4 linked regions of the Callithrix jacchus genome follow. The protein of the gene in region 4 binds, or shares a complex with, the protein of the main gene of each other region. Links are inferred from orthologs where the notes say so. Each region holds a gene or a part of one and is shown on either strand. Other genes may lie near its edges. The genes, in order: HUS1, RAD9A, RHNO1 and RAD1.

Region 1 (7,084 bases), on a different chromosome or scaffold from region 4:
ACTAGCTGGGTGTGGTGGCACACACCTGCGGTCCCAGCTAGTCAGGAGGCTGAGGTGGGAGGATGGCTTGAGCCAAGGAGGTCAAGGTGGTGACCCATGATTGTGGCATTGCACTCCAGTCTGAGTGACAGAAAGAGACCCTGTCTCAAATAAAACAAAGCAAGAAAACAAAAGATGTTGATCATGTCCACCTCCACAGGACAATGAGATGTAATTATAACAGGAAATATGATAGATATGTTTCTGGGAGAATGAGAACATCTACCAGTACCGAATCAGCTTTGATATTCAGAAACATCAAAGATATATGGTCTCATCACTTAACACAGATGATACCTTGTAAGTTTCGTTTGTTTCTACTCTAAGTAGAAGGGTCTTCTTTCCAGAATGACATATCCGATGCACTGTGGAAGAAAGAAATATAAGGAATTACAACCTAAAACCAAAACTGGCCCCAGGAAGAAACGAATTGGAACGGCAGAAAGAGCTAGCAGATAAGAGCTGTGTCGGCTGGGCCAGCTCTCCAGGCATCAGAAGGGGAGTGGGCCCAGGTGGGCTCGAGTTCTCAGCGAGAAAGAAAGAGACTCCAAATGCTGCACTGTGGCACCCCACAGTACTCTGAGTGACCAAGGTAGTGGCGGTGAGGTGACAGAGGCTTGCTGTCCTTTCTGTCCCTGGGCCCTGGGGGACAGGAGCAAGCTAAGTGAACACACTGAAATGCAAGACCGACTGTGCGGTACATGCCGTGCTGAGCTAGAGTCTCTGCCCGGAGGGAAAGCACCAAGCTCTCAGGCAACAGCTTTATGAATTCTGGCTACTACACCAAGTCTACTCAATACACGAGCATTTTCACAACATCAATGAGAAACTGTTATTTAAAGTCTGAGTAAATTCTAGCTTTTCTTTTTAATGTCTTAAAAACAAAACAAAACAGCCATGAACAACATGAAGTGATATGTTTATCCAACTGTGTGTCATTCAATCAATTTTTAGTTGAAATGTTAGAGAGGGATAAATAAGTACAGTGTGTCGATGTGCGGTGCTGTGAGGACACAGACCAGTGAGTGGGAACACAGCGTCTATGGCCTCTCCCATCCTGACAAAGTCTCTGTGTGCCAACTCCAACCACAGGGTGCTAGGACAGCGCAGGGATGAAATACTGAAGGGAGACGTCCTCATGAAGCAGATGGAAATGCACCATCTTGTTAGTCACAATATCTGGAAAGAGAAGAGCCGTGATGGTAGAGACCTAGTGCATGCACATTTTCATTCCCACTTTGCAGAGCAGCCTTCCCGGCCTCCACCTGCTTTAGGCGTCTGTCTTCCCTGAGGCAGCTACGGAGGCCACAGTCTCTTATTCTCACTGCCACAGCTGACGCTGCATCCCCGCCCCAGCACTGGTGGCTCCCTGCGGCGAGGAGAGGAAGAGTGAAACTGCCAAGCCCTTGGCAAAACACCCAGCAGGCTGGCTTCCTGGCAAACCAGATTTACCCACATCAGCGTCCTTCTGCGGGGAAGAGCAGATCCTCATCATTGAAAAGAGAACTGTGCTCAGAAGCGCTCAGAGCCACGATCCCCAAGCACCTGGGACAGGCTGTGTCACACACTGCTGCATGGGATGGACCCCTGCATCTCAACAGTCTTGCCAATCCTGTGAGGGCCACAGCCAGCCACTGTGCTGAGTAATGGCTAAAATCCAAGGCATCAGGCATACAACCAAGCAGGGAAGTAAAGAGCACGTGAGGGCGGGCAGGAGCATACAGTGTGACAACCACGGAGATCTCGGGGAGTTGCAGCACAGCAGCCAAGGAAAGCACTCCAGCAGATGCAAGTGAGTGACGAGAAACCATGCGTGAGCAGGCTGCAGAGGCCAATCCCAGGAGATGGGAGGTTGGGGAAAGGATGGAAAAGCACACGCAGGAAGACAAACGTTCTTTAGGAGAGGTAGTGCAAGGGCACGGGGAGGCAGAGACTGAGGGTGGCAGGACCTAGATAGAGGAGGGGACAACTGAGCCAGCACCTGGAGGAGGCTGACACAGACAGAAAATGAGCTTTGGAAAGTTAAGGAGAAGGTATGAGAAGTTCAACCTAGGGTTTTTTGTGCTACACTTGGGTACACCAAACTGAACGTTGAGAAGACATGTAACTTAGTCAAGCACCTTTGATAAGAACTGTGTTGACCAGCCTTGGATTCAGAAGGTCCCCCAAATGTCAAGTTCAAAGACTGATGTTGTGCAGCACAGGGGTCCCCCACATCCTATGTTTCCGCACTCTGCAGAGAGGAGGTGTATTTCACCCTCTCACCATTTAGTGTGCTTGTCAGGACCAAGGGTCTGGGCATTGTATAGGAGCTTGTGAGAAATGCAGCCATGAGGCCCAGCCCAAACTATGAACACAAAGTCTGCTTTACCAGACCTCCAGGTGACCCCCATGCACATCAAGGTTCTGAGAAGCATCTTTAAGGACCCTGCACTACCACACAGCTCCCACTATGCTCAGCCCTAGAAATATGACACCATCTATGTCAAAGTTCCTTAAAATGCAGCACAGGTGCCTCACCCTAAAACTCCCGATGATCTGGGCTAGCCTAGCTTTTCCATCTCTAACCTAAAGCTGCTCCTCTGGTGATATCTCCCTCTGCGCCCATCACTCCAATTGATGCCCTCCCCAATTCCCAAACACCCATTGCCCCTCCCATGGTCTCTTCTGATTCTCTTCATGTCTCATTCAAAAGGGCTGGTCCTTGACATTGCCACCCAGAATATTCTGTTCCTTCTCTACAGCACACTGCAGATCCGAAGGGGATGAGGTGCAGTATGGGGCCAACCTCCCTCTCAGCTCAGCCTGGGAGCTATTCTACCAAATGTGGAACTTCAAATGCAGGCTGCAGTTTCTTTTAGGTTGCTGTGATTCTAGTAGTAAGGCAAAAAAAAATGCCTTGAAAAGCTCTTGGTAGGCAATGCCTTTCTCATGTGTGGTCAGCAGATGAAGAGGGCCGGAGCAGGTGTGTGACTGCAGAAGATGGGGCCCAGCCAGAATCAAGAGGCAACATTTAGCAACCAGCAGCTGAGGGACAGATAGCGGGCAGCAAGCACAGACCAGCACAGCCACAGAAAGGAAACAAGACATCACAAGGGAAAACTCAAATCCAAGCAAAACCATGTCTGGGGCTCTGAGTAGGTAAAATGAGATGACCATGGAGAAGGTGGGATGATCAGCACCCATCCTCCTGACAGTGCCTCCAGGTATGCTGGCCAAATGAGGCAGCACACAACCCACCTACCAACCAGTGTGGCTGCAGGTTTTCGGCCATAACAGAGTGCCCAGGGATTGTTTCTCTGCTGCCACCTTTAGGTCCTTTGGAATCCAGGAAAATCTAAAATACCCGACTGTCCTATGAAGCTAAAGTCTACATAATTGAGCTTTTTTTTTCTTGCATTTATGAGACTATATGTAATCTGTTAGACTCGAGTTGACAGAATTATTTAAAATATGAAAAATAAAAGAGAAGCAAACTCACTGCATAAGGCCTTTGTGGGATTTACTTGTTGTCCAGCAAGAAACTGTAGGAGCTTCCTAATATCTATGTGTACTTCAGCCATGTGTTCTGGGTTTCTGTCTTGAGAGGTGCTTTCAGAGGCTAAAATGACAGGAATGCTTTTAAAGACAACATCTTTACACATATCAGGAAACCTGGAGATGCTCAATGCATTTTACCTAAATAAATGATTCACCTTAGCACTGGTTTTACCATCCTAGAGAAAATTGTAAATGTTGTCATTCATTAAGCATTAGGTCCTAACTATTTAAACTACTATGATCATTTCCAGGGCCTCTTTATTTACAGGGGACTTGAAATATGACTCAATCTCCCTCTTTAGGTCAAAGAAAATTATATTTATTAGTACTCACTATGTATTTAAGAGTAAAAATATATACATTAATTAATACAGGGCCTGTAATTCCAAAGTGAAATTAAAAAAAAAAAAAAAAGAAAACATCCTTTCAACTTCTGAGAAAGTACCACAGTTAAGTCCCATCTTGTGTTTATTAAAATAAACAAATGAATGACATCAGAATGAATCACTTTATACAATATTATCACAGCCTTAACCATATGGATTCCACGCTGCTGAAATAGGATACTCTTAACTAGAAAATAAAAGTTCCTTGCAACTCTGTGCTAAAGTCTGTGTTTACATTCAAGCAAACCTGTAGTAACTTAATTCTAAAACTGACTAGGGCCTGTTTTTTGCTTCTGGAACACCTTGTATCATAAAATGACTTTCTCATCATCCATAGGAGTTTCTCTTGTGGTCTTTTGCCTGCTTTCCTGATCAGGCAGCCCCTGGGACTGTACAGCGGCCCAATTTCCAGCCATGATTCCAACCCCATCTTGGCTTATGACGCACCAAACTGTCTAATCGTCCTTTCTTTCCCCACCTACTGAACTGACTCCATCATCCCTAATTACCTTGTATGAGATGAGAAATGTGATCAAGTAAAACAGTCTTAAATCTGCTACACTAACTTCATACATACGGAAGGAACTAAAGGAGAATATAAGAACAAGTGTATCAACCCTTCTGAATCCATTCCAGTTAGGCGTAGAACAGGAATTGAAGAGCTGGAAGGGATCTTGGAGGTTATTCAACTTGAACTGAATTCTACAGAGGACAGAGACCCTGTATAGATCCCTTAGCTACTTGGTGGCACAGCCCCTCCCCCTGGTGGCTAACTGTCCCACTACGCTACAGTGATGCGTAGTCCAATCTCAATTCCTTTGTTATTTCCCCAAGCATGAAACAAAGTAAACTGAATTTCAACCTTTTTACATGAGGAGACCTCAATAGGTAGGTTATCTGAAACAAGTTACCAAAAGCAAAATATAACCCATTAGAAAACTTACCTAATGGAGGATTTCCAAGATCTTTAAAATGAGTTGTAACACATACTAATTCAGTTTCTATTTTCAAATTCAATTCTCCATCTCGGTTTGCTTCAATAACCTGCAAATTAAGTATTTTACATAGTCTTAAAAAAGGAAGACAAAAGGAAAAAACTCCATGGGCAGCAGCTTTCATGCAACCAGATCACAAAGTAACCTACAAAACCTCAAAACACCTCAGAGCACACTCAGACCCATGTGGTATCAGCAAAAGAGAGAAGATAAGGCCTAAGAGCCTAGAACTCAGAAATCTCCCAAAAATCTTAAAGGGGAAATCCCCTGCCTGCCTCCCGAAATGGAGAACTCAGTGAAGATGTGAAAACAGGTGGAACTCAGAAGGACTTGCCAGGAGACTACAGGAGCACAAGAGCAGCTCAAGGGAGGGCTGGGTGGAGCTGATGAGTGGGAGAGTCCTGCACTGAGAAGGAACCACAGAAGTAAGAGCCTCAATTGAGCAGAATGGGCATGTCGGGCAAAAAAAGGGAATGAAACTTTAAATGATGGAAAAAGAGGGACAGATCTCAGAAAGTCCTGGGAAGTGGAGAGGATGCATGTTTTAATATTTTGTGGTAACAAAAAATGGAGAATTCTAGAGTCACAAAGTTAGAAAACTATTCTGGTCCACTCCCACTCCAACATTGAAACTTCCTCTTAAAAGAACCAGGAAAACCACCTACAACAGCAACAAAAATGGATTGTGGTCGACTTCCGTATGATATTCGGAAAAAAGAAAAGCAGAAATTGTAATACCTAAATAGCACACTTAGAAACCTAAAGGCACTCTGCAAACTAGATGCAGAGTATAGCCTATTATTTCAAGACCAACTAAAAGAAATGAACAGTGATAGAAGCTATGAAAGAACAACATAAATCTGAAGCAGGAAAGCTCAGACATGAGATGACCACACAGCATGCACATATGAAAACACAGCCGACAACACAGGAAGTAATTAGAAATTTAAGAAAAAATTTCAGAAACAGAAACTAGTTTAGAAGGAAGAAGACTGGAGCAAACAGGCATTACAGAGAGAATAGTAAGAGAAACTGGGATGGAAAGGAGAAAAATAAAATTTAACAAACAAAAAAAGACATAAAATGGATTTGGCAGAAAATAATAAAGAAGATGGTGAAGAAGACCCAAGCCCTCTGAGTCCCAGAAAAAAAAAAAAAAAAAAAGCACTGGAAAAGAAATGCTGTCCACTATAGCTGAAAACGTTCCTGAAGTGAATGAAGTGTTGGGCCCACATACTGAAAGGACACACCACACCTGGGAAAACTGACCTTGGATGCCAAGACAACTGGATTTTTTAAAAATGGAAAAAATACCGATGGTATTTAGTCCCCACCTTTAAGTAAATAAATCCAAGCTGTGAAACAAAATCAGAATGGAATCATCTTTTTGATAGCAATAATCTACACCAGCAGAGAATGCAGTACAGTGAGCCATACTGACATCGAACCCGTGACAGCCAATGAAATCCTATTCCCGTGAGTCCTTCCTGAGTGATACGCTAGAGAATAAGCTTTTGATAACAAAAAAAAAAGATTGGAGAAGTTACAGCATAAACAGTATGAGCCTTATTTTGATCTGTAGAACCAAAACTAAACAACAGGAGTGAAGGGGACAGAACACGTAATAATTTTATGCTTCGATGATGTAGATATAATATAACTATTACAAAACAGGAAAGGGGAAAATGAGAAAAGAATGTGAAAATTAGTGTCCTATTTTTATAAAATATAAATAAACCAGCTGTTATAACTACACATTTAATGTGACTATAAGGCCTTTAGAATCTCATGGGAACATAGCTATTTATTTAGAAAATAAACTCATGTTGGAAAATGAAATTTCCAAATTCAGAAAGGTCTGGGGCTGCTGTCGGGTTACCAGGACTGAGGATGTCTGAGCCAAACTCCACACACCCAGGCTACCAGACTTCTGCCTCTCCCTCACATACCATCGGACACCCCTCTTCTACTCCTGCTCTTGCTGCCCTGGGACTGTCTCCACAGGTCACAGGGGGCTCCTTTCCTTTGAAGCTCTTCTCTACCCACCCCAGCAACCAATCAGTTCTTTTAATTGGACGGAACCTATAAATGAAGCATATGCCAGTGTGGTTTGAGGTTATGCTA
Region 2 (7,671 bases), on a different chromosome or scaffold from region 4:
TTGAACCCAGGAGGCGGAGGTTGTAGTAAGCCAAGATCGTGCCACTGCACTCCAGCCTGGCACCTGGCAACAGAGCAAGACTCGGTGTCAAAAAAAAAAAGAAAACAACTGCATAAAGAGGAGGAGAATCAGAGGTATCTGCCCAGAAGCACAAGTCCTGCAACATGCAGGCCAAGATGGGCACCCGCAGGAAGCTCCAGTGCAGACAGGCAAGGCAAGCATATGTGCCCCTGTGGTCAACAGCTGCTGTTTGCACTACCTAGAGGGAGAAGAAGTGGGAAAGAGGGAAGAGAGGAATGAACAGGGCCAAGGTGGAGGGTGAAGCTGGCGCACGATGGTAGGCGGGCAAGTGGGGACCACCTGCGGATCTTGTTGTATATAGGCCTTGCTCTACACAGCCCCACCCACCACAGTAGGGGTGGGGAGGATCTCTGCTTATCAGCTCAGCATCCCATTGACCCCAAAATTATTCCACTGGTTGCCTCCAAACCACATACTCTAGCCCCATGGCACTCGGTTTCTCTCCCAATTTCTCATTTCTGTGTTGAAAATAAGAGATTTGGTTTGGCAGGAGTGAGGACATTCTGAGAAGGCAGAGTTCAGCCTGTTATAGGAACACTCAGATGGCAGACAAAGCTAAAGAAGGCACCTAGCTGAGCCACCAGAGAGGGTGGAGGACCATGAAAGGATGGGAGTCAGTCCACCAAACGAAGAGAGGAGCTGCATAGCAGTGCGCGCTGCCTGGGTTTGCTGTTATGGGCAAACCAGACCAGCCCCAAGCCTTCTCAGGCCATGTGAAGATCGATTATGTAGGATGCATATAACCAGCTCCCTCTCCCCAGGGGCATCCTCCTTTACCCAAACCTGTCTCCCACCTCACCTCCATGGCTCTGGCTTGAGTTATGCCAGCAGCAGGTGGGGTCCTGCTTTAGCCTTTAGCCTGGGCTTTCAGCTTCCCTGCCACACTCACCTTCTACCTCTACCTCTGTAGCTCACTGAGCTGCTCTGTCAGGGGTGCCAATGAGATGGGGTCACATAGGGTATAGCATTACTACCCAGGCCAATCCCATCAGGCAAATTTTTGCCAACTTCCTTCCCCACCCAGTGGGGGAACACTTTTCCCATTCCTGGTTCTCTAACCCAGAAACAGAATTCCCTAGAGACTCACAGCTACCCAGGACGCCTACCTGGGAGAGAGTGCACCTGGAGGAGTCAAGGCGAAGAGCACGAGCTCTCTGATGGGAGCCACTGCCCTGAGAACAAGTCAGCATCACTGAGGGCATAAGAGTGAGAAACTTGGATCAAATGTGTCCAATGACGGGGAGAAGCTGTGCTGGGTTAGAACACTGAGGAAAATGGGCAGGAAATTCTAGCTGAAATGGGAAAAGGAGAGTCTTGGTCTAGTTTCAGGTTTTCCTAGGACAGTGCTCTCACTAGGAGACAGATGGCATCCTATCAGTGATAATGGAAGCAGTGGAAAGATCACTGGTCTCAGTGGCATCATTCAGTTCTTTGACCTACAACCTAAGAAATCAGATCCCTCATGTGGAAAAGTGAAAGTCATAACACAAGACCTTACAGCTGTTGAGATCCAATGAGATCTCATGTAAGTGCCAGCACTTAGTGAATCGTCCAGGACCATAATGCCCTTGAAGCAGGCAGACAGAAGCCTCTGTGGTGGGCACTGGGCTGCCATAACCTTTTCTCAAGTACCAGGCCTGGAGTTCCTCAGGCTTCACATGGCATTTAGCTATAAGGAAATCCTGATGCACCCTGCAGGCACTTACCTGTGGCCTGTGGAGTAGGAGTGAACTGGGAAAGAAGGATGAAAAGGAAAAACTGTTCTGAGATGGGAGCACAGGCTGCCAGAAGGATGGTGTAAAGGCTCACCTTGAGTTGAGTCTCTAGTAAAAGGAGCATTTGTGGCCCCCAGATGTCCTCCAGCCTCCCAAATCTAGGGACAAAAAAAGACAGTCAGTTGTGCTCTATCTCCTCTCTGGTTGCACCTGCTTAATTTCTCCCCAGCTTCCTTGTTCTGAGGACGACTGCACCTTCTGAGCAACAGAAGATTCCAGCAGGAAATTAAGACCTTAAGACCTTTGATGAATGAAACAGGACTTGTCCTCAGGCCTTTCTCCTTTCAACCTTTTCCACTTTTGCCGTCCCAGGTCCTGAGGTAGTTCTCCCCTCTCCAGGCCATTAGACACCCATCTCTAAGGGGCGTCCTTCAAGGCTACCTCCTAGTGCAGGTTCAGCCCTGGACAGAACTGGAGAAGGGCAGGGCCCTGGAAGTCAGCCTGAAGATGGTGCTACTGAAGCCAGCTTCCTTCTTGTGCAGCAGCTGCAGGCCTTGGCAATCTGTTGGCATGGTGGACAGAGTTTCCCATTCCCAGTTAGGTCACAGATGGGAGAGAAACCTCCCTAGGAAGGAGTGAGCCATAGAAGAAAAAAAGCCAAGAATGAACACAGGAGTCAAGGGACTACCCATCACTGCCATCACTGGTCCTGAGGACTGCTACATGATCCTGTGCTGCAGTTTCTTTCCCTCATGGTTCTTCACCTTAGCTCCAGGGAAAGAGGCTCACAAACCCCCTATCCATTTATGCACCTTGTTCCCTTGGCTCTCAATTAGCTGGTACTATACTAAAGATGCCAACAATATGGCCCTTGCCCCATAATGATCTGCCCATTCGCCTTCTTCCCCTAGAAGAATGGCTCTGAGACAGCATGTATGTCTAATAAAATAACTTCAGGCTGGGCAAGGTGGCTCATGCTTGTAATCCCAGCACTTTGGGAGGCTGAGGCGGACAGATCTCTTGAGGCCAGGAGTTCAAGACCAGTCTGGCCAAAATGGTGAACGCTCATCTCTACCAAAAAATACAAAAATTCACCGGGCGTGATGGCACATGCCTGTAGTCCTGTCTACTCAGGAGGCTGAGGCATAATAACCGCTTAAACCCAGGAGGCAGAGGAGGTTGCAGTGGGCAGAGATCATGCCACTGCACTCCAGCCTGGACCACAGAGACCCTGTCTCAAAACAAGAAAACAAAAAAACTGTCCTGCCTAGGAAAATGGATTTGCCCAGAAATAAAATGACTTCAAATATTAAGAAAAGGTCTTACAGTGGCTAGGGACTGTTGTAAAAATTATCAAAAATGAGAGCTAGGACATGGGATAGCACTCCCTCTATGCAGTCCCTGGACTAAAAACTTACATGTGGCCAGGCTCAAGCCTGTAATCCCAGCACTTTGGGAGGCCAAGACGGGCAGATCACCTGAGGTCAGGAGTTAGAGACCAGTATGACCAACATGGAAAAGCCCCATCTCTACTAAGAATTCAAAATTAATTGGACATGGGGGTGCATGCCTGTTATCCCAGCTACTCAGGAGGCTGAGGCAGGAGAATCGCTTGAACCTGGGAGGCAGAGGTTGCAGTGAGCTGAGATCGTGCCACTGCACTCCAGCCTGGGAACAAGAGCAAAACAATGTCTGAGAGGGCGGGGGGGTCGCGGGGGAGCTGGTAGGGCTGGGCTAGGTGGCTCACGCCTGTAATCCCAGCACTTTGGGAGGCCAAGATCAGGAAGATTGAGACCATCCTGGCTAACACGGTGAAACCCCATCTCTACTAAAAATACAAAAAATTAGCCGGGCGTGGTGGCGCAGGCCTGTAGTCTCAGCTACTCGGAATGCTAGGGCAGGAAACTCGCTTGAACCTTGGAGGCACAGGTTGCGGTGAGCCGAGATCGCGCCATTGTACTGTACTCCAGCCTGGGCGACAGAGGAAGATTCCGTCTCAAAAACAAAACAAACAAAACAAAAACACCTTACATGCATCATCTCATTTAATCCACAAAAATCCGAGGCGGTGTTACCATTATCCCCAGTCTTGCAGATGAAGAGGCTGAGGCTAACTTTGTCCAAAGTCAGAAACCCAAGTTTCTCTGACTCTAGATCCCAAGCTGAGAGTCTTGCTCAGATCATCTCAGGACTCTTCTTTCTTCTTGCACTTGGGGTGCAACATGGAGCAATGAGGCCAGTAGTGTGTGACATACTGCACCCTCAGAAGAGGCTTCTGTTTCAGACCCCTTATTCTACAGAGGAAGGAACTGGTAGGTCGCACAGAGCCTGGGCCTGCTCTGCAACGGAATCGCAACGGGCACTAGAATTCTAGTCCAAGCCCCATTTTACAGAGCCGGGGAGCTGAAGCCCACAGCGCCTGGGGGCCTCCCGGGCTCCGAATCCACCAGCGGCTGAGCCAGATCCAGCCTCGGGCGCACTCACTGCCCTGCCCGATTCTACCTCCGCGTTCACCTGCGGCGCGAACCCTCCCCGCGGGCTGCCAGCGCCCGGGAGTACCTGTCCGCCACGCTCAGGGCCCTCGGCTCGAAGTGACCAGACGCTGGTGCAGGCGAGCGGGGCTCCGCGGGCCACAACCGGACCCCGGCCTCGCGGACCCGGGTCGCCTCGCCAGTCCCTCTCCTGAGAACGCCGAGGCCTCAGCAGCGTGTGGACGCCGGGACGCCGCCGAGAATTGGGAAGCGCTGGTCTCGGAGGCAAGGCCGGCTTGGTCTCCTCTCCTCAAGTCCCCTGCGCCGCCCCCCGCCCCCCGGACCTTCTGCAAACCGGGTCCCAGCCCCAGCGCACCTCAAGAAGAAACAACACGTTCGCGCTTCGTGGAGTCAAGCGGTCGGGACTCTAAGTAGGGGCGAGGTTCCCATGGCAACGAGGGGACACTCTTTGCGCCTGCTCAGAGGCGCTAGGCACGCTGGGAAATGTGGTTTCCGGGTTGTCCATGGAGGCTAACGGAACGGACGCAAGGTGGCGCCCAAACGTCGCAGTCGATGTGGGTAAGTCCCGGTCCCCAGCTCCCGGGCGCTGCGGGCGCGGGAGAGACCGCGAAGGTCTGAAAGATAGTTTCTCTGAGGCAACTGAGATACGCAGTGAGGAGACGGAGGCACAGTCTCTTCAGCGCGGTTGATTTTGCCGTTTGAAAAGTTGGCATGACGAGGGACTGTGCTGGCTAGCGCGAAGGCGGCCGCTTCTGAGGCCCCGCCCCAGCCTGGGCAGAGCCGGACGCAGAAGAGGGAGGACGCTCGGACTGTGGGAGCTGGTTCCAGAGGGACGCGCGCCACGGTCGTGCAGCAAGTGTTCCGGGTCCGGGCTGGGCGACCCCTCGCGCTGCTGAGGGGCTCCTGTGCCCAGTGGGAATTGAAAGCGGGCTCCGGGAGCAGCAGCCATCCGGACCCTCGCACTCGCGAGCTCCGAGCACTTCCGGACCCAGGGCCTTCCTTGGGCGGAACTGTGCATTCAGTTGACTGCCCGGGAGCCACCTTCCCCACTCTCGAGTTAGGCTCAAACAATGACAATCTAGAAACCTAGGATCTGGCCGGGCGCAGTGGCTCACGCTTGTAGTCCCTGCACTTTGGGAGGCCGAGGCGGGTGGATCACCTAAGGTCAGGAGTTCGAGACCAGCCTGTCCAACATGATGAAACCCCTTCTCTACTAAAAATAGAGCAAGGTGCGGTGGTGGGCACCTATAATCCCAGCTACTCAGGAGGCTGAGGCAGGAGAATCGCTTAAACCCCGAAGGCAGAGGTTGCAGTGAGCCAAGATTGCACTCCAGCCTAGGCTACAGAGAAAGACTGGGTCTCAAAAATAAAAATAAAAATACACATAACAATATATTTGATTACGTAAGCATGGGATACCTGGAGGGCCTCGAAGGCAGCTGCAGTCATTGCCTGAGTAGACATGAAGGACTGGAAGACAGAGTAGGAGTCAGTTTACTTTTCGTTTTATATGTTTCTTTGTTATTTTTTTGACCCTTTAGCAATTTCTATGAGCTTTGTGTACACAGAGGGTTTTTGTTTTGTTTTGTTTTGTTTTGAGACAGAGTCACCCTCTGTCACCAAGGCTGGAATGCAGTGGTGCCATCTCCATCTTGCAACCTCCGCCTCCCCGGTTCAAGCAATTCTCTTGCCTCAGCTTCTCAAATAGCTGGGATTACAGGCACGCACCACTATGCCCGGCTAATTTTTGTAATTTTTTTTTTTTTAGTAGAGATGGGGTTTCATCATGTTGGCCAGACTGGTCTCGAACTCCTGATCTCAGGTGATTCAACCATCTTAGCCTCCCAAAGTGCTGAGAGTACAGGCATGAACCACCACGCCCAGCCCATAGGGTTCTTATTTTGTTTTGTAGAGATGGGGTTTCACCGTGTTGCCCAGGCAGGTCTCCAACTCCTGGGCTCAAGCATTCCACCTGCCTCAGCCTCCCTAAGTGCTGAGATTACAGGGGTGAGCCACCATGCCTGGCACCCTCTTGTCTGCATTTTTGATGCAGTTTCCCCTCCAGTCTTCCTTTTCCTGATTGCTGACTTCTTACTCCTTGGAATCCTCATGGATTCTAGTGAGTCCCATGGATCTGAGTTCCTGATGGGATCTGCCTTCTGAGATGCGCAGGCTGCAGGAGGGCAGGGCCTGGCCTTGGCTTCCCCCGACACTCTCGCCACCACCCACCCACCTGCAGCCCTAGGAATATGGAAAGGGCAGCCTGGGTAGGACTCCTGGTTGGCCAAAGAATAGGAGGCAGCCCCCAATGTTTGCTCAGCAGGATAGATCAGGAGTCAGAACTAGCTTCCCTGTACCCCACATCTTGTGACCCTTAGGCATACCACCCAGATAGGTGCCACCCATTCCTCTTCTGGAAGGGAGGTACAGGCTAAGTTCTCACAATGTCTAGATAGCATGTTTTTGTTTGCTTGTTTGTTTTTAGACAGAGTCTTGCTCTGTTGCCCAGGCTAGAATGTAGTGGTGCGATCTTGGCTCACCACAACCTCCACCGTCTGAGTTCAAGCAACTGTCCTGCCTTAGCCTCCTGGGTAGTTTGGATTACAGGCTCCCACCACCGTGCCTGGCTAATTTTTGTTTTGTTTTGTAGAGATGGGGTTTCTCCATGTTGGTCAGGTTGGTTTCAAACTCCCAACCTCAGGTAATTTGCCCACCTCTGCCTCCCAAAATGCTGGGATTATAGGCATGAGCCATTGCACCCGGCCTCATGTATTGTTTAAAAGTATCAAAGTGTAGCCATGCGTGGTGGCCCTGTAGTCCCAGCTACTCGGGAGCCTGAGGTAGGATCTCTTGAGCCTGGGAGGCAGAGGGTACAGTGAGCCGAGATCACCCCACTGCACTCTAACCTGAGTGACAGAGTGAGACCCAGTCTCAAATAAAAATAAAATAAAATGCATCAAAGTGAAGAGGGGTACTTAGGGATTTCAGGTGTAATCCCTTTGCTTTACAGAAAGAAACAGAGACTGTAGCTGGGGCTAGAATCCAAGTCCCCGCCCCCGGGCACTTCAGGGTTAGAGCAGTGTTGGGAGTCCCACGAGGGCCTGGGTGAGAGGTTCACTCTTAAAACTGGGCATGAAGTCTCAATCACTGAGAATGCTTGGTGCCAGCTCCCATCTCTGAGGACACGAGGGCCTGGGTGAGAGGTTCACTCTTAAAACTGGGCATGAAGTCTCAATCACTGAGAATGCTTGGTGCCAGCTCCCATCTCTGAGGACACGAGGGCCTGGGTGAGAGGTTCACTCTTAAAACTGGGCATGAAGTCTCAATCACTGAGAATGCTTGGTGCCAGCTCCCATCTCTGAGGACAGCTTTGAGGGAAGGAG
Region 3 (7,674 bases), on a different chromosome or scaffold from region 4:
AACTTTAGGAGGCTGAGGTGGGAGGACTGCTTGAGGCCAAGAGTTCAAGACCAGCCTGGGCAACATAGTGACACCTCGTCTTGACTAAAAATTTAAAAGAATAATTAGTTGGACATGGTGGGACACACCTGTCGTCCCAGCTATTTGGGAGGCTGAGGTGGGAGGATCACTTGAGCCTAGGAGTCTGAAGATGCAGTGAGCTATGATCATGCCACTACACTCTAGCCTAGGTGACAGACAGACCCTATCTCGAAAAAAAAAGTGGAAATTTTTGTTTGTTAGTTTTGAAATGAAGTCTCACTCTGTTGCCCAGGCTGGAGTGCAGTTGTGCAATCTAGGCTCACTGTAACCTCTGCTTCCCAGGTTCAAGTAATTCTCCTGCCTCAGTCTCCTGAGTAGCTGGGATTACAAGTACCCATCACCATGCCCAGCTAATTGTTATATTTTTTAGTAGAGATGGGGTTTCGCCATGTTGGCCAGGCTGGTCTTGAACTCCTGACCTCAGGTGATCTGCCAACCTTAGCCTCTGAAAATGCTGGGATTACAGGCCTGAGCCACCACGTCCAGGCTGAAAATTTTTATTTTAATTTTTTAAATTACTGTTAGAGGTGAGTTCCTGCTCTGTTGCCCAGACTGGAGTCCAGTGACATGATCATAACTCACTGCAGTCTCAAACTCCTGGGTTCAAGAGATCCTCTTGCCTTAGGCTCCTGCAGAGCTGGGACTATAGACAAGCACCACCACACCTGGCTGGTTTCTTATTTTATTTTATTTTTTTTAGTGATGGGGTCTTGCTGTGTTGTCCAGGCTGGTCTTGAACTCCTGGGCTCAAGTGATTCTCCTGCCTCAGCCTCCCAAAGTGCTAGAATTACAGGTGTGAATCACCATACCCTGCCCACTTTCTTAGAATGTCAGAACACCCCTTTTCTGTTAACAAATGATTTTACTTCAGACTTGACAACGAATGCAGAAGACATCAAAGGAAATACTCGGATTTTACAGAAAGCAAACACACAAACCTATGCATATCAGCATCTATCTTCTTTCTGCTCTAACTAGAGGTCAGTTCATTCTGGTATCTAAGTCCTTCCCCTCTGGTTGTGCTTCGGAGCTATTCTCACTCTATATACTTTTCTTAGGCAAACTCATCTACCTGTATTTCCGTAACCACCTATAAGTAGATGACTTCAATATTTATATACTCATTTTAGAATTCCTTAAGTTCAGTCCCACTACCTACCTGAACATCAACTAGATATTTCAAATGCACCTCAAATTCAACATGTTTAAGGCTGAGCGCAGTGGCTCACGCCTGTAATCCCAGCACTTTCAGAGGCCAGGGCAGGCGATTGCTTGAGCTCATGAGTTTGAGACCAGACTGGGCAACATAGCGAAACCAGAACTCTACAAAAAATACAATAAATTAGGTGCGCTTGGTGGTGGGCATCTGTAATCCTAGCTACTCAGGAGGCTGGGGTTGGCAGATCACTTGAGCCCAGGAGGCGAAGGTTGCAGTGAGCCGAGATCGCACCACTGCACTCCAGCCTGGACGACAGAGCCAGAAACTGGCTTCAAAAAAAGAAAAGAAAAAAAAATTCAACAAGTTTAAAATTGAACTTGGCCGGTTGCATTGGCTGGCATTACACCTGTAATGCTAGCATTTTAGGAGGTGAAGGTGGGAGGATCCCTTGAGCCCAAGAGTTCAAGATCAATCTGGGCAAGAGTGAGACCTTGTCTCTACAAAAAATACAAAAATTAGCTGGGCATAGTGGCATGTGCCTGTAATCCCAGCCATTCAGGAGACTGAGGTGGGAGGATCACCTAAGCCCAGGAGGCTGAGGCTGTAGTAAGCCAAGGTCATGCCACTGGACTTCAGCCTGGGGGACAGAGCAAGACCCTGTCTCTAAAAAATAAAAAGATAAATAAAAATAAATATATAAAATTTTTTTTAAAAACTGAACTCCGCCGGGCGCAGTGGCTCAGGCGTGTAATCCCAGCACTTTGGGAGTCCGAGCCAGGCGGATCACGAGGTCAGGAGATCGAGACCATCCTGGCCAACATGGTGAAACCCATCTCTACTGAAAATACAAAAATTAGCTAGGTGTGGTGGCACGTGCCTGTAATCCCAGCTACTTGGGAGGCTGAGACAAGAGAATCTCTTGAACCCAGGAGGCAGAGGTGGCTGTGAGCCTAGATCTCACCACTGCACTCCAGTCTGGCAACAGAGCGAGACTCCGTCTCAAACAAAACCAAAAAAACAACTGAACTCATTCTGAGCATTGCTTTGTAGTAAAAAACAAAAACTGAATTCACAGTCATTCCCTGACAACCTCACCGCCACCCCTTGGCCAAAGTGATTATCTTCCAGGGCTCTTGATCAGGGAATGGTGTCATTATTCTTTCAATTATGCAGCCAAATATCTTGACACTTCTATCTTCCCACCTCCCATCCAACCCACCATCAAGCCCTGTCAACTTTACCTTTTAAACACCTTTCATAATGCCCCTTTTTCACTCTCTGTTTCCTTCCTTTTCTTCCTCTCTCCCTGACAACCTTTTTCAAGCTCAAGCAGTTCCTGCCTGGAGTATTGCAATATCCAACTGGTCTGCCCTAATCCACTCTAGCAACCCCTGCTGTAGAGGGACCTTTTAAAATGCAAATCTGACCTCAGTTCACTTCTGCTTCAAGCTTATGATTGATTTCCTTTATTCTTGGATAAGCATAAAACTTCTCAGTATGGCGAAGGCCTGCTTCCTCTGCCTCCAGCTTCAACTCACACCACACTCCACTCAGGCTGATTAGCTCAAACCCCTCAGATATTCCTCACCGTGCTTACTCCTGCCATGCCGCCTTTGCACACCTGATTCCCTCTGCTTATGGAGGTTCCCTCCTTTTTTTGTAAAAGGTACCAGATCTCACACACCAAGCTCTCACGGGAAAAGCCTTTCCTGTCCTACCTCTCAAGATCTCCTTATTGTAAATACTCAAAGTATCATTAAGCTCTACTGTTTCACTTGACAGCAGTAATTCCACTATTGTGTGTTTGTTTGTTTTGGAGATGGTGTCTCCCTCTGTCACTCCCTCCGTCCAGGTTGAAGTGCAGTGGTGTAACAGTTTACCATAGCCTCCACCTCTCCGGCTCAGGTCATCCTCCCACCTCAGCCTCCAGAGTAGCTGGGACTACAGGCACGCACCACCACACCCGGCTAATTTTTAGTAGAGAAGCGGTTTCACCATGTTGGCCAGGCTGGTCTTGAACTCGTGACCTCAATCCATCCACCTGCCTCGGCCTCCTAAAGTGCTAGGGTTACAGGCGTGAGCCACCGTACCCAGCCCACATTTGTTTATTTGATTACTTAAAAACGTCTGAGCCCCTCTCCCAGGATTGGGCTGTGAGTCCAAGGGAAGTTAAGAACCTTGTCTGCCATTGTACCCTCAGGGCCTAGCGGTGCCTGGCACATAGTAGTTGTTCAACTAGACAGGCTAAGTAAATAAATAAAGCACTACAGTCTATTGTATCCGAAGGCTTAGCTTTGGGAGGGGCAAAGACAGGTCAGTACCTTAAGATTTCGCGCGCACGTAGGGCTCAAGGTGCCGACATTTTTTCCAAGATGGAAGAAAGCTGAGATCACACGCAGCCCTCAAAGAACCCTCGGGCTAATCGCGGGGAGCAAATAATCGTTCGCTGTAGGAAAACTGGGTACGATTTCCCCTGGGAAGGAAATCAAGTAAAGCCGACCTTTGAAAAGGGGAGCAGAGCAGTTCGAGGGGAGACAGGGGCGTGTCGCCTGACTTGGCTAGGGCGGCAGGGAAGCGGGCCCAGGGAGCCGGGCCTGTCACGCCGCTTCCGCGCGTCCCCAAACTGTCCCTCTGCTCGCCCACCCACGCCGCGGAGACCCCTCCGGCCCCTCCCTGACCTCACGGCCACCTCTTACCCCACGAACAGGCCAGCGGGCCGCCTTACCAGCCCGGGCCGGCCAGGGCCGCCGCTCCTGTCACACCGCGCCGCGTTCGAGCCCCGAATGCCGAGACAAGCCGGCGCCGATTGGCGACGTTCCGTCACGTGACCTTAACGCTCCGCCGGCGCCAGTTTCAAACAGCGGAACAAACTGAAAGCTCCGGTGCCAGACCCCACCCCCGGCCCCGGCCAGGGACCCCCTCCCTTCCCGGGATCCCCCGGGGTTCCCACCCCGCCCGCACCGCCGGGGACCCGGCCGGTCCGGCGCGAGTCCCCGTCCGGGGTCCGGGCTCGGCCCCCAGGTTGGAGGAGCCCGGAGCCCGCCTTCGGAGCCACGGCCCAACGGCGGCGGCGACTGCAGTCTGGAGGTGAGCGGGATGCAGGAATGGAGTCCCAGGCCTGGCCTAGGCACAGGCGGGGAGCAAGGCCTCCGGGTGCGGAGGTCAGGGCGTCTAGCAGCAGGGCACGGGCCACCAGTGGAGGTTTGGGCCATACGGGGAGAAGGTCTGAGCCAGGGTGCAAATTTTTTCTGCATCCAACCTCCTGGCCTTGGCATTCTCACTACTTAAAGCGCCCCATGGACTTCCCTGAAGTCTGACCTCTGCACCCTGCCCACAGCCTCGGGAGGGCTGGGGTGACCTACTTTCTTCCTTAGGCCGACTGTGGCTGCGATGAAGACTGAGCTTGTACTATATTGAGTCAAAGACCAACATACGTACACACTCCCCTGCTCCCAGGCTGTCTCACCACTAGGCAACACTGCCTCCATCTTACCCTTTGGCCACCACCCTTCTCCTGGTTCTTGAGAATGTAGCAAGATTTCCCCGCTTGGGATGGGGATGGGTCAGAGGAGCCACTCTGGAAGTTTCCCGGGCAAGAAAGTGTCGGCAATAATACTAAGAGGTTGGTCAGGAATTAGAAGAGAAACTTAAGACTTAGATATCCTGTGGAAAAATAACAGTATCTACTGATTGATGCAGGGAGAGAGGGAGGCCTGGAAAGATATGAGGTGAAGGTGAAACAGATTTGAAGGTAGAAGTGTGGAGGGCCTGTGAACTCTATGCAGATGGCAAATGTCAAGAAAGTGCAGTTGCTTTTCAGGGAGACAAGTGTCCTAAAAATGAGACAGCCAAGGCCTGGCGCGGTGGTTCAGGCCTGTAATCCCAGCACTTTGGGAAGCCGAGGCAGGCAGATCACAAGGTCAGGAGATGGAGCCCATCCTGGACAACATGGTGAAACCCCCATCTCTACTAAAAATATACAAAAATTAGCTGGGCATGGTGGCGCACGCCTGTGGTCCCAGCTGCTCGGGAGGCTGAGGCAGAAGAATTGCTTGAACCCATGAGGTGGAGGTTGCAGTGAGCAAGATCGCACCACTGTACTCCAGCCTGGTGCCTGGCAACACAGCAAAACTCTGTCTCAAAAAAAAAAAAAAGAGAGAGAGAAACAGCCAATTCCTCTGTCTCCCATAGTTCCATGAAATAGAATTATACAAGTTTACTTAATAGTAGAATATTCCATATATCTATTAAAATCAGCAAAGGGCCAGACACGGTGGCTCACACCTGTAATGCCAGCACTTTGGGAGGCTGAGATGGGCAGAAGTTTGAGGTCAGGAGTTTGAGACCAGCCTGACCAACATGGTGAAACCCCATCTCTACTAAAAATACAAAATTAGCCAGGTATGGTGGTGCACACCTGTAATCCCAGCTACTTGGGAGGTTGAGGCAGGAGAATCACTTGAACCCAGGAAGGTGGAGGTTGAGGCAGGAGAATCACTTGAACCCAGGAAGGTGGAGGTTGCAGTGAGCCAAGATCGCACCATTGCTCTTCAGCCTGGGCAACAAGAGCAAAACAACATCTCAAAAAAATTTTAAAAATCAGGCTGGGTGTGGTGGCTCACACCTGTAGTCTCAGCTCTTTGCGAGGCTGAGGTGGGTAGATCGCCTGAGGTCAGGAGTTCTAGACCAGCCTGGCCAACGTGGTGAAACACTGTCTCTACTAAAAATACAAAAATTAGCTGGACGTGGTGGTGGGCACCTGTAATCCCAGCTACTCAGGCTGAGGCAGGAGAATCGCTTGAACCTGGGAGACGGAGGTTGCAGTGAGCCGAGATGTAATCCCTGCACTCCAGCCTTGGCAACTGAGCGAGACTCCATCTCAAAAAAAAATAAAGGCTGGGTACAGTGGCTCACACCTGTAATCTGAGCACTTTGGGAGGCTAAGGTGGGTGGATCACCTGAGGAGTTTGAGACCAAACTGGCCAACATGGTGAAACCCCATCTCTGCTAAAAAAAAAAAAAAATTAACTGGCGTGTTGGTGTACGCCTATAATCGCAGCTACTCGGGAGGCTGAGGCAGGAGAATCACTTGAACCTGAGAGGCAGGCAGAGGTGTCAGTGAGCTGAGATCGCGTGCCATTAAATTCCAGCCTGGGTGACAAGAGCAAAACTTTGTCTCAAAAAAAAAATGAACGAAATGCTTAAAAAAGAAAAAGCTACACTGTTAGCATTTGAGAACCACCTTAGTGTATTGATGATAGCACATTCTGGTAGTAAGGAGGCAGGGATTATAGTCTTAGTTCTAGAAAAGAAATTAATGAAGTGGCATGCTTAGAAAGTTAAAATATATGTAGCCATGTGCAAGTACTAAAATGCCATTGGATAAATATAGTACAAATTGTAAAAGAAAACATATTCTTTTAAAATTCGAGCAAGTATAATAGCCTGAGAAATAAATGTCACCCTCTAGAGCTGTTCAGAGCACAAGCTGCACAACTTTACATGGGCCTCCAGTAGAGGTTTCCATTTTATGTGAGGTCTTGTAAACTAGGAGATGATTTTTCCAGTGGTGTGGCAATAGTACAGTCTGCCTTTCTTCCCTGATTCTGTTGCACTGGTCCTATTTACGAAGTAACACAAAAATTAAAAGGCCTGGCTGGGCGCGTAGCTCACGCCTGTAATCCCAGCACTTCGGGAGGCTGAGCTGGGTGGATCACCTGAGGTCAGGAGTTTCAGACCAGCCTGAACAACATGGTGAAACCCTGTTTCTACCAAAAATACAAAAACTAGCCAGGCATGGTGGTGGGTGCCTGTAATCCCAGCTACTTGGGAGGCTGAGGCATGAGAATCGCTTGAACCCAGGAGGTGGAGGTTGCAATGAGCTGAGATCGTGCCATTGCACTCCAGCCTGGGTGACAAAGGCAGACTCTGTCTCAAAAAAAAAAAAAAAAAATTAAAAGGCTTTATCTTAGAATGGATTATGGGATCAGAGTTTTCTCAGGACTCCTAATTACCATATGCTCCTATTCTAGCATCTTCCATTGCTGTCCGTACAGTCATTGCAAGTTATCTATTTATATTATAGTAGGCAATTAGAGAGATTTCCACATTTTTGTAGCTGTCCCATCCATTTCTGTAGCCAAATATTCTGAAGCTTCAAGAAGGAGATCTTTGGCTATCTCCAACCCAGTCCCATTTTTGCCCTTTGAATTGCTTCTGTCTGCTGTAATTTTAGCAATTATTATCGCCTTATTATCTGAGGTCTTTACAAAAGTCCATGGAGCGTTCACCTCTGCCTTTGAGCTCATGTTCCTGGTCATAGGAAGAGGAGCACCATTCTCTTAAAGAACCTCTTCTCAGCCTAAAAAATCTCTGACATCTTGCTGCTCTTTGCATTTTCCAGGGTCCACACTTGTGATTCTCAATGGAGAGTG
Region 4 (5,966 bases):
GTTTGTTTTGTTCTTGGTGTTCATCTAAACAAAAAATATTTTGACATTTAGTAAATTCATCTGTTTCCTACTTGAACACATACACTTTATGAAATTCCAACTTCTTTTGTAGTTGCTAGGCATGCTGAGATTGAGAGACTAGCTAGTTATCAGGTTCTGACCCTGGCTACCTCCCAGAACTGTCCATGTGCCTGGGATCAGTGCCTGCCATTGCACTGGAGCGGCCTCCTTGCAGCACACTCTGCGCAATACTCTCCAAACCAATTTTCTCTAACGCTATGTGACCTATTTTAAGGTAGGCATTCCAGTATATCCTCAAATTTTGGTGAATATCATTGAACAGTTCTCAACAATGAATAGTTGGCACACTTTTATTTGGGGGAAGGCGGTGGTCACAACCATCAATGGGTAAGGGTCAGAAAGGCTAAGTGAATCGTGCAATGGGATGACAGTTTTTTATCCTAAAGAACTGTCCCACCCAAAAGGCTAATAGTGCCTGTCTGTGGAGAGACACTGAGCTGTTTGTTGTTACAAAGACAGAAGCTTCACTTTACTCATGTAATTTTTTCTACTAGAAAATAAGTCAGATTATCACCGGGCGCGGTGGCTCACGCCTGTAATCCCAGCACTTTGGGAGGCCGAGGCGGGTGGATCACGAGGTCAAGAGATCGAGACTATCCTGGTCAACATAGTGAAACCCCGTCTCTACTAAAAATATAAAAAATTAGCTGGGTATGGTGGCGCGTGCCTGTAATCCCAGCTACTCAGGAGGCTGAGGCAGGAGAATTGCCTGAACCCAGGAGGCGGAGGTTGCGGTGAGCCAAGATCGCGCCATTGTACTCCAGCCTGGGTAACAAGAGCGAAACTCTGTCTCAAAAAAAAAAAAGAAAATAAGTCAGATAATTTTAGTGTTGTATTTTATTAAATATAAAAATATTTATATGCCCACAAAAATTATTTTAGTGACAACTACCAGGAAAGTACAAAATCCCCTATAACTGTTTTTTTACACCTCAATTTGTCAAGAAACTCAGAGGCAAATGCAAAGCATCTAATAAGTACTTACTGCAGTTACTTACTGCAGTGAACAGTTTTGAGAAGAAGAAGAAAACCTGTAACTCTGAAAATTGTTTTATATCCCATTCACAGATCTCTTCAAAAGTATACTATAAAAATGAATCACAAAGAATTTTTCAGACTTCTTTGGTGATGCTTCAACTTCAGAACATTTGCAAGGAAATGACATGTAAAAACAATCACCTCAATACAATTAAACTTCTTTTTTTTTTTAAAGTTTCCTTTAAAACAGTGGTTCCCAAAATTTAGCATTTATCAGAATCTCCTGAGGGAAGCCAGTTAAAATACAGAATGCTGGCTTCCTCCCCAGAGTTTGCTACAAGTTTGCAGGCAGTTCTGATGTTGGAGCGGGCACAACACTTTTGAGAACCACTGCTTTAAGATCTAGTCTCTAGAAGTCAAACTAAGAGGCAACGCCCATATGTCTTTCCTTATTCTAACGGTAAATAAATAAAAAGAATATTTTAAGTAGCTGCATCAAACTTTCAGTCTTTAGATTCCTGGAAAGTTCTAATGAAATAAAACGTTATTTCTCATGGCTCACAATTATTCTCATGAGTCCAGAAAGAACTACAGGACAGTCCTGAATAATCTACGACTATATAAAAACATTTATTTACACGCCCTCTACAAACTGTATTTACAAAACACATAGTAACGATTGGGGTACACAACCTTGCTCCTTTCTTCCCCATGCTTATTCTCTACAGAAAATCCAATATGAAATTATAGAGTATTGTACTCAGAATAAGAACTTCATTTATGTACACATAAATATCATGAATTGTCATATTGAAGATTCAGATTCAGGAACTTCTTCATCAGGGCAGCAGTAATATTCTACAAAACATATTTGTCCGTCTTCATTTCTAATCATATACTGCAATGAAAGGAAGCCTCTGTTATCTGTCCGAATAGATACTTTACAAGATAGGACTAATGCCTTTGTAGAGGGTTTCAGTAAGGAAATCTTGTATCTGTAGAAGAATAAATAAAAAGCTGTTATATCAACACAGTTAACATTGCTCAGAGTTCCAAGTAAAGGACAAAAAGCAGCAAATCTAAGAATAAAATCAAGTACTTATGCAATTTGCTAATATTTTCTTTTTTTAAAATTCATCCACTGTTAGCATCCTACATCCCCTAGTAAGTCCAGCACTCTACTGTTCATGTTTATAAAATGCTGTGTATTTTTATTAACAGACAAAGTGGGGGTTTTTTCTTTTTTGAAATGGAGTCTCACTCTGTTGCCCATACGATCTCAGCTCATTGCAACCCCTACCTCCTGGGTTCAAGCAAGTCTCCTGTCTCAGCCTCCCGAGTAGGTGGGACTACAGGTGTATGCCACCATGCCCAGCTAATTTCTGTATTTTTAGTAGAGACAGGGTTTCACCATATTATTGGTCAGGTTGGTCTTGAACTCCTGACCTCAGGTGATCCGTCCCCCCTTGGCCTCCCAAAGTGCTAGGATTAAAGGTGTGAGCCACTGTGCCCAGCTGAAAGTGTTTTTATTTAACAGAAATCTGGTATTTAGCCTTATCTTTATCACCAATGGCAACCTCTATATTAAGGACTGACCTGTTGACTTGGGTCTGATTACAATGAAATGCTTCCATCAAATCAGAATCTTTGGGATAGTCAAGGTGGGAACTTCCTGCATTTCCAAAAGTAGATAACCTATAGAAAATGATTACTTCATTTATTCATTGGTCCAGAAATAAACCACATTAAGATCCAAATAAACTAAACACTTCCTTAAGAAATCCATACTAGTGGGTGAAACAGACATGTACACAAATAGTTACAATACAGGATAACAAGTACCATAATAAAGCTCCCACAGGATGCTGTGGGAGTTCAGGGCAACTAGCAACTAATCAACAGCTTTGAAGAAAATTAATTGTAAAAGGAAAAGGGCAGGGCACAGCTTTAATTTCATTACCCTAATCCTATTCTGGAAGTAGATTTTCCTCATCCTTAAGTCAGAAATATATAACAGGAGAGAGAATAGAGGACTGATGGAAGACCTTGATCTAAGTTAACTGCAAACCTCAGGTTCTGTTCCCAATCCTATACCAAGCAATTACAGCTTTTCTGTATCTTAGATTGCTCCTAAGGTTATTTCATGGTTTTCCTCACTAGGTAATAGCAGACGTTATGTGTAAACAACTTATAAATGTTAATGTGCTGATTTCATCTGCTAGACTGGAGTATTTCCTGCAGTTGCTAAGTGTTGCATGAGCATAATGATATGACCCAGGTGTTGGTTTTCCCTAAGCTCCATTTCTACCGTCCATCTTCCAGGTGCTGTTTTTCCCCGGGTTCATCTTTTCTTTCTAATATAATCGCTCTCTCTGACCCGCCTCATCTATGCCCAGCCATTATGATGGTTCCCAAATCTAAATTCCCAGTCTAGATGGATCTCCTGAGCACCATAACCACATATCCAGCTATTCCCTAGTGTCACAGGTACTTAAAATTTAACATATCCAGAAAAAACATTTCAACTCCAACCTCCCTACCACCAAATTGTTTCCTAACTTGGAGATGAAAGATACCATGATCCACCTAGTTACCCAGGCTGAGAGATCACTGAGAAGGAGATCCTCTGAAATATTGTTTAAGTACCTGAATTTTTCACTTCATTCCACAGCTAAAGTAGGGTTTCCAATTTCCATTTTGGTTAATACTTTGTCAGACCGTGATCCAAATTTTTAACTGCCCAAAGTCATGAGAAGGACCTGTAATTCTTTTTCTTTTTTTTTTTGAGAGTCTTGCTCTGTCACTTAGGCTGGAGTGCAGTGGTGCAATTTTGGCTCACTGCAACCTTCGTCTCCTGGGTTCAAGTGATTCTCCCCACTTCAGCCTCCTGAGTAGCTGGAATTACAGGCACCTGCCACCACACTCAGCTAATTAGACAGGGTCTCACCATGTTGGCCAGGCTGGTCTTGAACTCCTGACCTCAAGTGATCCACCCACCTCGGCCTCCCAAAGTGCTGGGATTACAGGTGTGACCCACTGCACCCAGCTGGGTCTGTAATTTTTCTAAAGCAGTTACAAAAAGAATACCTTATACCTTTTATTCCATATGTATTTAGTGCCTTTATTTAATATTCTGAAATTTTTCAAAAGAGAATATTTAGATCCTCTTGCTAGAATTTCTAAACTGAGACTAATCCTGGAAAGAGACTTGTGTGAAAGAATAAGGAGCAGCTTTTTTGACATTGTCTTCCTGCTGAAAACTGCCCTCTCTTTGGAAGTGAGCATCGAGCTATCCTCCCTAAATCTTTATTCAGTGTTTCCCAGGGATCTCTGTGTGCTATCTTCGTACTTAATGGTTTGCTGTTTCACATATCTTGGCTTCACCTTAATTTTAAGTTGTTATTCCTACAATGGTCAATAAGATGAATAAGCACATGGTAGGTGATCAACAGATACCTTAGTGAATGAATGAACCACATGTAGAAAACATGTTCTGCATCCTGAACTAACTTGAAAAAGATACCATATAATACAAATACCCTTTCCAAACACTTAAACCCAATTTTCCTCATGATGTAACCTGATACATGACAGTAAGTAGTATGAAAACATTACTAGTTTAGAAATTAGGGGACCGGGCTTCTCATCTACATGCCAACACCATCTAAATATGAAATAGTGAGTTAATCTTTCTGGGTCTTAAGTTTCTTGATCCATAAAATTATGAGTAAGAGTACAAGCTATTTAAAGTTGTGAAAGCTCTAAAAATGTGGATAATAAAAATTCTGCATCCTAAGCAAATGTCTAGAGGGAAGACAGAGTACAGACCACATGAACTATAACTCCACCGCTCTCAAGTACCTGAAATAAGGCTTGTCAGGAGACATCGTAATCTGTAAGACTTCACTCGTCATATCCAATTCAGAAAATGCTTCACGGAGTCCCTCTGACTGCAGAATAATTTTATTAATAACATTGGTGCTGCAGAAGTCAAAGTCCAGGGTCTCCTCAGGTTCCTGCGTATTGATTTTGCAGACTGTTACCACCCCTCCTTCTTCTAGGAACAGCATCAAAGGGTAACCATCACCTTGGTAACACATCCGAAGAGCAGTTAAAGTCCCTGCAATGGAAAGAAATCATACTTGGCCTTAGCTTTATAGCTCTGGGTTCAGCTTCTCCTCAAAATGATATAAAATTTCTCAAGAATAATTCATTCCACCAAATTTCTCGCATATACGTATCTCCTCATAAAAAGGGATTATATCTTCCCTGATGACAGTTGTATGTAGACAATTCCAAACATACAAGAAAATTGGGAACCAGAACAAAATGTAACGTAACTCTCTGGTATCATTTTCAGGTTGTCATAAATACCTCAGAAATAGCTTGATTTTATATACATAAATTTCAGGATAGAGAATCTACATGGATCAACACAGCAAGTAACCAAATTGCCGCAGAACACAGTATGCTATTTCTTGAAGGTTCAATGTGTGTAACAGTGGACTGCTATGTGTACTGTAATGTCAGTGTATTCACTCTTATAAGGATCCTTCCAACTTTTCCAACTCAGATATTCTTTATATTTTTTCAAATTTCAAAATTAAATTGAGACAAAAAGAGGGTTGTTAATAGTGGTGTAAATTCTAACACTGCAAACCATTAGGGGAAGGAGGAATGTGATAGGATATTCAAATTCCTCCTTACTGCATGGAGAGCCACAGTGAGGAATGGAAGATGACAGATTCTTTCATGAAAAACCAGCTGGAGAACACGGTATTAGAAAATGTATAGTTAGTTAATAACAGTGGAATTGTCAGTAGAAAATTAAAATACATTTTTCTGGAGAACTATATTGGAGAACTATATTGAATTTTTCCTAATCTCCAGGTTGCTTTCCTATGAAA

Evidence for each region.
Region 1: the proteins of RAD1 (region 4) and HUS1 are in contact, whole or in part, in a crystal structure (PDB 8GNN), measured with the Homo sapiens proteins. The link is inferred for Callithrix jacchus from reciprocal best matches to the Homo sapiens genes RAD1 and HUS1. Residues at the interface, in NP_002844.1 of Homo sapiens: Asn85, Val88, Asp91, Cys92, Ser94, Ile95, Phe96, Gly97, Ser98, Gly127, Val128, Val129, Thr130, Val131, Cys132, Lys133, Ile134, Asn135, Gln137; in NP_004498.1 of Homo sapiens: Thr165, Ser168, Val169, Lys172, Met173, Asn175, Ile176, Glu197, Leu198, Val199, Cys200, Val201, Thr202, Thr203, His204, Phe205, Lys206.
Region 2: the proteins of RAD1 (region 4) and RAD9A are in contact, whole or in part, in a crystal structure (PDB 3GGR), measured with the Homo sapiens proteins. The link is inferred for Callithrix jacchus from reciprocal best matches to the Homo sapiens genes RAD1 and RAD9A. Residues at the interface, in NP_002844.1 of Homo sapiens: Glu165, Ala166, Ser168, Glu169, Asn195, Ala196, Gly197, Ser198, Ser199, His200, Leu201, Asp202, Tyr203, Pro204, Asp206, Ser207, Glu211; in NP_004575.1 of Homo sapiens: Leu76, Ser82, Val83, Ser86, Leu90, Lys92, Leu112, Phe116, Gly117, Val118, Arg119, Lys120, Thr121, His122, Asn123, Leu124.
Region 3: the proteins of RAD1 (region 4) and RHNO1 are in contact, whole or in part, in a crystal structure (PDB 6J8Y), measured with the Homo sapiens proteins. The link is inferred for Callithrix jacchus from reciprocal best matches to the Homo sapiens genes RAD1 and RHNO1. Residues at the interface, in NP_002844.1 of Homo sapiens: Asn47, Gly48, Ile49, Lys50, Phe64, Ile65, Gln66, Ser149, Lys155, Ile157, Glu211, Ala212, Lys240, Val241, Ser242, Arg244, Gln254, Tyr255, Met256, Phe266, Glu268; in NP_001239428.1 of Homo sapiens: Ser55, Trp56, Val57, Ser58, Pro59, Asp60, Phe61, Asp62, Thr63.

Annotation. Positions count from the first base shown.
Region 1 is NC_133512.1:15,508,638-15,515,721, forward strand, and holds part of HUS1 (checkpoint protein HUS1), read right to left. Parts: intron 5,010-7,084; coding exon 4,910-5,009; intron 3,641-4,909; coding exon 3,521-3,640; intron 1,219-3,520; coding exon 1,136-1,218; 3' UTR 1-1,135. UniProt on the Homo sapiens protein: Component of the 9-1-1 cell-cycle checkpoint response complex that plays a major role in DNA repair. The 9-1-1 complex is recruited to DNA lesion upon damage by the RAD17-replication factor C (RFC) clamp loader complex.
Region 2 is NC_133511.1:124,398,959-124,406,629, reverse strand, and holds the start of RAD9A (cell cycle checkpoint control protein RAD9A), read right to left. Parts: upstream 4,724-7,671; 5' UTR 4,356-4,723; intron 1,955-4,355; 5' UTR 1,891-1,954; intron 1-1,890. UniProt on the Homo sapiens protein: Component of the 9-1-1 cell-cycle checkpoint response complex that plays a major role in DNA repair. The 9-1-1 complex is recruited to DNA lesion upon damage by the RAD17-replication factor C (RFC) clamp loader complex.
Region 3 is NC_133510.1:16,195,094-16,202,767, reverse strand, and holds the start of RHNO1 (RAD9, HUS1, RAD1-interacting nuclear orphan protein 1), read right to left. Parts: upstream 4,029-7,674; 5' UTR 3,937-4,028; intron 3,714-3,936; 5' UTR 3,562-3,713; intron 1-3,561. UniProt on the Homo sapiens protein: Involved in microhomology-mediated end-joining (MMEJ) DNA repair by promoting recruitment of polymerase theta (POLQ) to DNA damage sites during mitosis.
Region 4 is NC_133503.1:170,715,736-170,721,701, reverse strand, and holds the end of RAD1 (cell cycle checkpoint protein RAD1), read right to left. Parts: intron 5,180-5,966; coding exon 4,921-5,179; intron 2,755-4,920; coding exon 2,656-2,754; intron 2,055-2,655; coding exon 1,865-2,054; 3' UTR 1,666-1,864; downstream 1-1,665. UniProt on the Homo sapiens protein: Component of the 9-1-1 cell-cycle checkpoint response complex that plays a major role in DNA repair. The 9-1-1 complex is recruited to DNA lesion upon damage by the RAD17-replication factor C (RFC) clamp loader complex.